Xenopus tropicalis: one gene and its partners. The protein of the gene in region 1 interacts with the protein of each later gene in a pairwise test. Links are inferred from orthologs where the notes say so. Each region holds a gene or a part of one and is shown in the gene's direction. Other genes may lie near its edges.

What was found.
Region 2: the proteins of ddx6 (region 1) and vps52 interact in binary tests that used the Homo sapiens proteins (3 or more experiments, as listed by UniProt). The two-hybrid records come from large-scale screens. The link is inferred for Xenopus tropicalis from reciprocal best matches to the Homo sapiens genes DDX6 and VPS52.
Region 3: the proteins of ddx6 (region 1) and sipa1l2 interact in binary tests that used the Homo sapiens proteins (3 or more experiments, as listed by UniProt). The two-hybrid records come from large-scale screens. The link is inferred for Xenopus tropicalis from reciprocal best matches to the Homo sapiens genes DDX6 and SIPA1L2.

What each region holds. Positions count from the first base shown.
Region 1 is NC_030683.2:80,853,843-80,857,986, reverse strand, and holds the start of ddx6 (probable ATP-dependent RNA helicase ddx6), read left to right. Parts: upstream 1-1,243; 5' UTR 1,244-1,400; intron 1,401-4,144.
Region 2 is NC_030684.2:72,052,465-72,054,902, reverse strand, and holds the end of vps52 (vacuolar protein sorting-associated protein 52 homolog), read left to right. Parts: coding exon 1-47; intron 48-133; coding exon 134-245; intron 246-331; coding exon 332-450; intron 451-531; coding exon 532-678; 3' UTR 679-1,901; downstream 1,902-2,438. UniProt on the Homo sapiens protein: Acts as a component of the GARP complex that is involved in retrograde transport from early and late endosomes to the trans-Golgi network (TGN).
Region 3 is NC_030681.2:57,792,381-57,796,018, forward strand, and holds part of sipa1l2 (signal-induced proliferation-associated 1-like protein 2), read left to right. Parts: coding exon 1-643; intron 644-3,638.

The sequences.
Region 1 (4,144 bases):
TAGTAGTAGAAGGATAGATCCTTCACAGTCACAGCGCAGTCAGGTGATTGGTGCTGCATGGTCAGGCACAGTCACCATGAGCCACATAAAACAGCCAGACGGGCCTTGTGTTTTACACGTGCCCTAAACCCTAAAATCCCAGCAAATCTCAGTAAAGTGATACTGGGTAATGGACATATATCAGGGATCCCAAACTATTTTTAGGTGGTGAGGAGCAGCAGTGAGTTGCTCAGGAGCCACTGTTAAGGGATCACTATTATACATCCTCTCTGGCTCTAGGAGAGTTACTCCAGTTACTCCAAACACTATTAATATTATATTAATATAGTATATACTATTATATTATATTATTATATAACACTATTGCAACCACTTAGCAACACCTAAATGTGTATTTAGTCCTGCTACTGATAAAATGATACAAGTATCAGGTTGAGGTACTGCTATATAGTTTCCAAGTAATAAGCCCACTACTAAATAACTTGTGATTATATAACTGAGACGTGATTGTAATCTTTAGTTTGAAACAGTTTTTCATTTGGCAATAAAGGTTATGTTTTATTTCTTCTAACAGTGTGCCATTAGAACGTAGCTTTCTAATTAAATGGTTTGACTTACAAATACGTTATTAAGCCCCATAAGAAATACGTGGGGCTATCCTAGCATTGTTTTTGCACATATATAGGATATAATAAATAAGATTACCTTGAAATCGCTGTAAAAGATCACAATTGTAATAACTTTATAATTAAAAATGGCTAGATTTCGACGTTTTCACTAACTATGGTTTAAAAGCTATATGCCTTTAACACAAACAGAGCGGTCAAAACGATGCCTATTTAAGGAGCTTTATAGAAAGTCAAGGATAACTTAGCTATAAAGAAAGCATATGGGTTCTCCTCAGAATAAAACATTTTTTTCGATTATACGTCTCATCTTGAGAATGAAATAATTGGTGCGCAGCTCCGGTCCGGACGCCATAATACCCTAAGCTCTGAGCGAAAGCAGACGTGGATCCGTGATGTTGGTTTAACAAAGCCCGCTATATAAATCGCCACATCACCCATTAAATGACCCATCTGGCAAACTGGCGTGTCATTGCTAGCCACTTCGCTTCCTCGTTGTTTTTTTTTTTTTTTTGTAAAAAATAGTGCGCGGAGTATGACATTACAGAGTGATCTCTGCAATATTGCTTTACGGTCTGGCGGAAGGATTTGGACGCGCGGCGCGGGGAGGGTTTAAAGGAGGAAGGAAGCCATTTTGGAGCTTCGAGTAAGAGAAACACACGGAGAGCAAACAAAAACATAATAGTTATACTTATAGTGAGTAATAAACAAAGAGAAACGACGGAAACAAACGGACAACACGACGACGAGGAGTCCGACGTGTCCGAGCCCGGGGTGCGTGTTGGGGAGAGGGGGTGGGGGGATGCGGGAAAGGGGAGATGGCAATTCTTCTGAGGAATGGGGAAGAGATGAGGTAATCTGGGCCCGGTAAACACTGCCGTGGGTTAAAAAGGGATAACGCTGTATAAACTAGATCAGGGGTGTTTTTCTTAGGGTGTTTAAGCTGCTGTTAAACGTAACTTAAAGTATTTACCTGTATGTATTTGCTGGGAGACGTAGGAAATGTTAGATGGAACGCCATCGCAATATATCCCGTTCATTCCGAGCCTGCAACACTGTAATCAACTACATGTTATTAATTTGAATCTTGTTAGGCTCTAGTTTTGGTATAGTTACCAAGTAAATGAGTTTTATGTATTGTATGTGCTGCTGTAATGGCTGCTGCTTTATTAAATCTCCCATGTTCTGGTCATAAGTAGGCCTAGCTTCTACTGATTGGCTGCTGTAGCAGAAAGTTCAGTAGTGATCCTTTGTCTTTGGGAAACTAACTTTATACAAGGTCATGTTTTCTGCTTATTTGCTCTTCTTTATCAGTTATAAGGTTCATTTCTTCATGTAATCTATTAATGAAGTAAAGGGAGCCTACCCAGATGCCAAAGGGATGTAGGATAAGAACACAGCAGATTTAAGGGTTATGTTGGGTTTGAATACATCTGTATGATCTTTCTGTCTTAATATTTATGGGGTAGGTTTATTACTAAATTGCTGTGTGCATTGCAAATAATTTTACATTTAAAATGTTATTTTTGAGCCAATAAATGTATCTCTTTTTGAATTATTGGTGTCTAGACAGAAATATCTGGTCTGAGATTTCTGAGCAGGGTTGGAGGGGGGGTGCAGGGCCCACAGGGGCCCCGCACCCCCAAGCTGTCTCCGCTACATCCCCCACTGGGGCCTCCACCTGACATCCTCCCCTGAGCACGCGTAAGTGAAAGTTACTTTCAACCCACCAGGGGAGGGACACTGGCTGCCAGAGCAGCATCTACAGGGATCGGGTCTGGGCTGGTGCGGCTCACCGGATTTTTGCCCTGGCGACCCAGTCAGACCCTAAGAAAGACTTGGATGTTGAGTGCTGTTCTTATCTTCCGCTGTTCTCTTTTTACCTTCCTATTCTTTTGCTGATTGGTTGCTGGGGGGAAAGGGAGGGGGAGATATCACTCCAGCTTGCAGTAAAGCGAGACTGAAGTTTATCAGAGCACATGGCTTAGGGCACCTAAGCATTAAATAACATTACATTTCAAAATTAAATATTAAAAAAAAATCTGATTTTTCAAAAAAACAATTTCAATGCAGGATTCTGCTGTTGGATTTTGGGGGGAAAAAAAAAAAGTCCCTTCAACTTTGTGTTTGGAGGGAAGAGTTCCCTTTTTTTTTTTTTATATAATTGTAATAGCAATGGCGAGCCTCCTGGAAGTTAGAATTTCGCAGCTCTCTGGCAGAAGTAATCTGCCTAATGTAAATTTCCCCCAAAGAGAGAATTTTATATGGGAACCCTACTGTCAGACCTCTTAATTAACAAAATTCTGATTACATGCAAAATGTTGGGGGGGGGTTTGGACATAGTATTTAATTTTTAAGGTGTGTAATGTCATAAGGTAACTTAGTTTGGTATAGGTTGATGACATTTTGCACATTTGTTGTTAAATCAAAACATATTCCTTGTACTTTGTGTCCTGCATGTCCAGACACATGGCATTGGTGATGCTGGCGACCAGATGGATTGTTGGATCTTTGTGTTTGCGAGAAATGACTTGGCAGTTAAGAATAGTGAAGCGAAGGATATTTGATTGTCTGAACATCTTGATTGTATGTGATGAGAACCCCTGAAGGTGGCCATACATTGGGCAGATTTAAGCTGCCGATTGGATCCTTTAGACTGATTCAGCAGCTTATCTGCACAAGTATGGGACCCTCCATTGGGTCTAACTGACAAATCTGACCAAAAATCATCCAGATGACAATTGGGCAGGCTAGATATTCCTGTGGAATCGAGGACCACATTGGCTCATTGATGCAGTCCTCGCTCTAAACAACAACCCAGTTATAGTTGATCTAGTGACCACTTCAGCCATCCAGTTGAAAGGCAGCTGTAGAACTTTGTTAAAACCTAAACTGCCTATTGTAAATTGCTTTCTGAACTGTAAAAGTCTAACCATCACTGGTTATACGTATCTTGGCCTGTATATTGAACACTATCATGTGGTAAGAGGTAGTCTTGATTTTTGTTTTTTTTGTTAGCCAACCTGCGAAAATGGCTGACCAAGCTCTGACCATATTTTTATATAAATAAGCTGCTGTGTAGAAGCCATCAATCTAGAAAAAGGAGAAAAGGCACAGGTTACATAGCAGAAACTCTGTAGAATACAATTATTATTATTATTTTTTTTTTTTAGAGCTTATCTATAGTCTATGTAACCATTTAGCCCTATGTAGCTTATGCCATTTAGCACTATTTCAATTTGATTTGCTGCCCCCATAGATACACAGTAGCTTTGCTTCAGAAACTGTATGATTCTTTACAAAAACACAAAACTGCCAGTGCAGAGCAGCAGTACATTATATTTTAATTACAGGTGTGGGATCTCTTATCTGGAAACCCGTTATCCAGAAAGTTTCGAATTACGAAAAGACCACCTCCCATAGACTCTATTATAAACAAGCCTATTTGGTTTATATTTAAATGATTTTTAACAGGCTTATGTTATGGAGATCCAAATTATGGTAAGATCCCTTATCTG
Region 2 (2,438 bases), on another chromosome or scaffold:
GCAAAGAAGTGGAAAGTTTTCAACAGCTGCTGACTGCTCGAACACAGGTTTGTAGCCCCTTTGTGTTTGTATTATTACCTTCTACACCATGTATTTCATATTGATTTTGTCCTTGTACTGTTTAAAATGCCAGGAGTTTATTGAAGAGATACTCGCTCCATCATTTGGAGGAATGATTGCATTTGTCAAGGAGTCAGAATCTCTAATTGAGAAGGGACAGCAGGAACGACTCAGAAGTGAAGAGGGTACAGGATGTTTGTATTTTAACAAGTCTTACTATTTGTTTTTATTGTCACTCACTGCATAAAGTAACGGTCTGAATTTCTTGTAGCACGTGTTGCTCAGCTTGTACGGGGGTTCTCATCAACATGGAAACAAGCAGTGGAGAATCTGAGTCAGGATGTTATGAGGTCATTTACCAACTTTAAGAATGGAACTAGCATTATACAAGTAAGGGAATTAGGAAGGGCTATTTAAGAGAGACCTTTATTTGGGTTCTTCCTTTTATTCTAACTCTCTCCATTTTTACAGGGTGCATTAACACAGCTGATCCAGTATTATCACCGCTTCCATAAGATACTCTCCCAGCCGCCACTCAGGAATCTGCCTGTATGCTCAGAATTAATAAACCTGCATCACCTAATGGTTGAGCTCAAAAAACATAAGCCTAATTTCTGAACCCAAGAAGGTAGAAGTAGGAAGTATCATAAAACTGATTCTGTTACCTGTGTATATAACACTAATCTGAGATGCATCAAGTGATGTAAATTTCTTAACAATGAAAGAGCAAGTGCTTTTGCCTTGCTAAGTCAGTAAGATACCTGTACCAACAGGTAAACAGGTAGCTCCACCAAATGTTTGAGTTTAAATATATTTAATGGCATTCTCTTCCTATGCTTAACTATTGCTTGTAAAATCATGCCAGAACTAAATGTATGGGTAAAATAAAGTTTACTACTGGTAACAAATCTTGGATAAATATGTATAGTTTTATGTAGTCTCACAGCATGAAGAAAATGTATAATTTCCTGTGCAGTCATTTGAATGTTATTGCAGCTTATCCATTCCCCGGGGACAGTGAGGTGCTAATGAGCAATAGCTGAAACAGGCCTGTGCAGATTGAGAACACTAGCTTAGCTAGTAGAAAGTACAGGGGTAATACATTCTAAATGCATAGGGGTTTTAATGTAAAATGCCACAACTTAAAGGAAGATGCAGTTGCAAGTCCTTTGTGGACACGATAACACATTCGTTGTAAAGGAGTTATGTTCTTTACTAGAAGCAATAACAGACAAGGGTTCCAAAGTGCTATGGCTACATTTTTATACCTGTATATATATATCTACACACATCTTTGTTTTAAATTATCCACACAGTTTAAGCAAAAATAGATACAAACCAGTATTAAAAGCCACATTTACTAAAATGTTACAAAAGAAAACGTTGCTCTGTGTCAAGAGCAATTAACATACAATACAAAGATTTAGAGTTCCCTCCATCGCTTTCTATTAACATTTAAGTGCAAGTAAGGCTTAAGAGAAACATCTGAGACCCAATTATGTAGCTTATGTTTGAGATAGTTCCAATAAGCCTATAAAGACACCAGAGCACTCTCTCTGCCAGTCAATATGTATGTCACAAGAAAGTCTTGCAGGCTCTTTAAACACAGTATCTAAACGAAGGCTGTTTTACTACACTGGAATGTTACATGCATGTTATCCAATCCCCACTCTAATAATATATCTTTTAAAAGAGTAAGGAAGAGATCTAAAGTACTAGCCCTCCAACAGCTACCTGTATGGATGTCCATACTGAATGTCATTCTTTTAAAAGAGATTAAAGGACATGTCAACCCCAAAAATAATTTTTTGCTTAATTAAAGAAAACTTAATTCTTAGCAACTTTGCAATATACACGCATTACATATTTGCAATGGGTTTCTAGTTATTTGTATGTATATATATATTTGCTATTAAAAGAACTGTCTGCCTGTCCTTTCTATTATCTGCTCTGGTCGCTCTGGCATTTGAAACAATGTAACAAAACACCAGCAGATTTTACAGACCTGACTTGCTGGAGGAGCCCGGCACTTGCAACATTGTTTAAAAAGTAACAACCAGGAGTTCAGCAAATGCTGCTTTCTATAGAAATTACATTTACTAATAACTTTTAATAAGTTGATATTAAAAAGTTGCTTGGAATTATGTTTTCTTTTATTAGGCAAAAAAATTATTTTTTTAGTAGGAATACCCCTTGTTAAACATGGATGCAATGAATAGGGCTTAAGTTTAACATACTTTTTCTCTATTGTTTTTAATATGGTTTTTGCCCCCTGTTCTATACAGGATAACTGAAACTACTTGTTTGGTCCTTGTAAGGTAGCAGATTACCAGTGTAACAGTACCTTCCTTGCCCCTTTTGACTGTTTTGCCAGCAGG
Region 3 (3,638 bases), on another chromosome or scaffold:
CCTAAAAGTCAGTTAAAAGCAGAAACTGTTGAAACATCTCTGTATAAGAGACTAAGGGCTGTAAAAAGTGACCATGATTCTTTAAAGTTCTCGTTTGACTTTAACGATGGTAAAATGGACAAATGTATGCAAATGGGGACCTTTGAAAAGGGTTTCGCACATTATGATGTACAGAGTATTTTGTTTAACATTTATGAAGCCATTGACTCACAGACTAGTGTTGCTAAGCACAAAAATATAACAACTGGGGCATCTGCAGCATCCCAGTCTCCAGTAACTAGTGGCAAAGCTGGAAATTGTCAGTATCCTCAGGGAAGTAAAGAAGACCCTAACTGTAGCCCAGAAGCAGATGAAGGAGATGGCAAAAGTAGTGACATTGTTCTAAGCTGTCCTTATTTTAGAAATGAGATTGGGGGAGAAGGAGACAGAAGAATTGCACTATCAAGGGCAAACTCTTCTGTGCAAACTGGTGAAAGTTGTTCCTTTGAATCATCTCTCAGCTCTCATTGCACTAATGCTGGTGTGTCTGTATTAGAGGTTCCAAGAGGAAATCAACCTATTCACAGGGAAAAAGTAAAGCGCTATATTATAGAGCATGTAGACCTTGGAGCATACTACTACAGAAAGTATTTCTATGGAAAAGGTATGTTAATTTGCAAAATAATTGTTTTATTTCTATACTGTATATTTCAAAATTAAAATGTGGCTGTCATGTGAGATATATACTTACATAATAACTGGTGTATACACAAGACACATAAATACACCATCCACCACCATCCATTAAATTCAAACTTTTCTGTCCAAATGAAACCCATAACCAGATTCCAAGAGAATCTATTGATGCATAAAGCATCACTATTGCATAGGAATCACATATCCCTTAGTGCCTCTTCTCCTGTGTAAACAGTTCCAACATTTTTAGCCTTTCTTCATAATGGAGACATTATCTATGCAGACAGTATCTGCTAATACAAATGATTCATGGAATAAACTACCCTGATGAGCCAAACTTAGGAGTTGTTGCAGATCATCAAGCAAAAAATGAGGTTTGTCAGTCATATAAGTTGATGCCATGTATGAATCTGAATTACTAATCAGCCTTGTACTTTGACTTTTGTATTCTATATACACAGTATATCCAGTAACTTGTCATCCTTGCCTAGTTGTGCTTCAGTGCCTGCAGTCCTTGCTAGTCCAGCTTCTATGGGTTCTCTGATCTGTCCAATTTCCCCCAGAACTTACAATTGGGTTTTCAGCAATGTACATTTTTTTAATTAGTTGTTACAGTTGTCTCAGATACATTATGTTCACTTTAAAAAACATATTTGCATTGGCAATTAATTATATTTAAACAGTATAATTAAATTAGAGGCTAAAATAAATATAAAGTTATAGTGCATAAGAACCTCATAGAAATACAAACAAAAATATATAGTGAATAAAGTACCACCTATTGTAAAATATAAGCATATTGTAAATCACTGAGGAGTTCCAAGTGCTTTTATAAAAGTGAAACTCTTCTGTAACTTCTAATATCCTCATATTTTATAAACGTGGCTACTACACAAGTTTAAGTGAATCATGTGACAGAAATTACATTACTAACCACCGATTATAACTGATGACATTGCTAAGCACCGTTTATAAGGATATAATTTAAAGGATAATCATGGCTGTATTATAAACAGATAAATATGTTAAAACTGAAAACTTTATGGTTTCCTTCTAATGAGTATATAGTACTTTCTGGGAATAGATTTCTTTGATTTTAACTTTGTTTCCTCTCTTGACCATATAAATATCCTTGTTCTCCCAAACTTTCCTAAAATAGTATACCCTGCCCCATAAATCTATATAAACTCCATGGTTTTTATTTCTTTGAGTCTCTCTATTACTTCTGCTATACTAGGGGATTGGGGTTCTTTTCAGTGACTAAGGATAGTTAGGATGCAGTCATAATACATTTTACCAACCATTGCTCTTTTGAATTTGTATAGTTTACTGGTTTGTACAATAGTGTGTTCCATATATATAAATGTAGATTTCAACCCATAATACTGTTTATTAGGTCCTTTAATTCAGACCAAAAAAATTGCAAATATTTTCACAGTTAAGCATACAAGGTATGAAACGCAAAAAATAAAATTCTATTTTTATATTTACTAATTACTAAATGTACTTGTTCTTTTGTTTATTTTTCACAGATCATTGTGACCATATTCATTAAAAAAAAATTCATGCTGTGAGGACCAGTGGCTATCAGGATAAGTTAGAACAGTCAAGAATGACAATGCTGGTACTGGGAAGCAGTCAAGACAAACAAAGCTAATAGACAAACAAAGCTTGGTAACCAGGATGTTGAGCAGAATTCAAGTCCAAGTTCAGGCACAGGTAGGGCAAGCAGAGTTCAGGATAGCTATATAAAAGGCCATTAGACAAATACTAGGAATACAGAGGAAAATAGCGGAACAGTCCTGATTTTAACAGTTCAGCCGTAGTCCCCCATTTCCCTTTCATCTCCTGCACTGAACGCTACTTAAATAAGTAGCTTTTGACAGATAGCCCAGAAAAGTTAACAAGCCACACCTGCATTTAGGTACAATTGTAACTAATAAGCTAAATAGGTCTCTTGGGGAAACTGAGACTTGCAGCTTAAAGGAGAAGGAAAGGCTAAGTCACTTGGGGGTGCCAAAATGTTAGGCACCCCCAAGTGACTTTAATCACTTACCTTTTACCCTGGGCTGGTGCCCCTGTTAGGAGAAAACCGCACCAGCCTGGGGTAGCTGCGAGCGTGGTCTCCTCTTCCTTCTTCCTTCATCATGCGCTTTTGCATGCGCAGTAGAGTGAAAAGCCGAACTTTAACAAAAAAGTTGGCTTTTCACTCTACTGTGCATGCACCGGTCCAGAAGGAAGAAGGAAGCGCTCGCTACAAGTACGGTTTTCTCCTAACAGGGGTACCAGCCCGGGTTAAAAGGTAAGCGATTAAAGTCACTTGGGGGTGCCTAACATTTTGGCACCCCCAAGTGACTTAGTCTTTCCTTCTCCTTTAAAGGGCAATTTCACATTTTTTATCAAAACAGAAAATGTTAAAACTTTAAATAACCTGCCATATTTTGTAAAATGGGAGTGGTATTTAGGGGGTGTTGTCGCAAAAATAGGCATGGTCAAAAAATTGTTCACTGCGCTACACACACCATTTTTTTTGTCCCTCTTTACATTTTTCAAATGTTGGGAGGTTATAAATACACCTACATATATAAATTATATATACACATACCTATACTAAACTGACTGTAGCTCTTAAGATCACAATAGACTTGTATATTATGCTTGTTCAAGAAGTCATCCCAGCCACTCTTAAAAGCACTAATAGAATCTGTCATCACAACCTTACTGCCCTTAATGTAAAAAAAAAAAAAAAACATTTGCTGCTTTAAAGGGGACCTGTCACCCTAAGAAATAATTCCAGAATGTTTTCAATTGTGTTTGTCAAGCAAAATAAACTTCACTTACACCATATGAATTAGTTTATTTAGCTTTGGAATTCACAGTTGCAGCAAGCAGGCAGGCACCATTTTGTGCACACTGTTATTGAGGCAAGCTTTGCATCCTGTCAAATCTTATTTCTGTGCCAG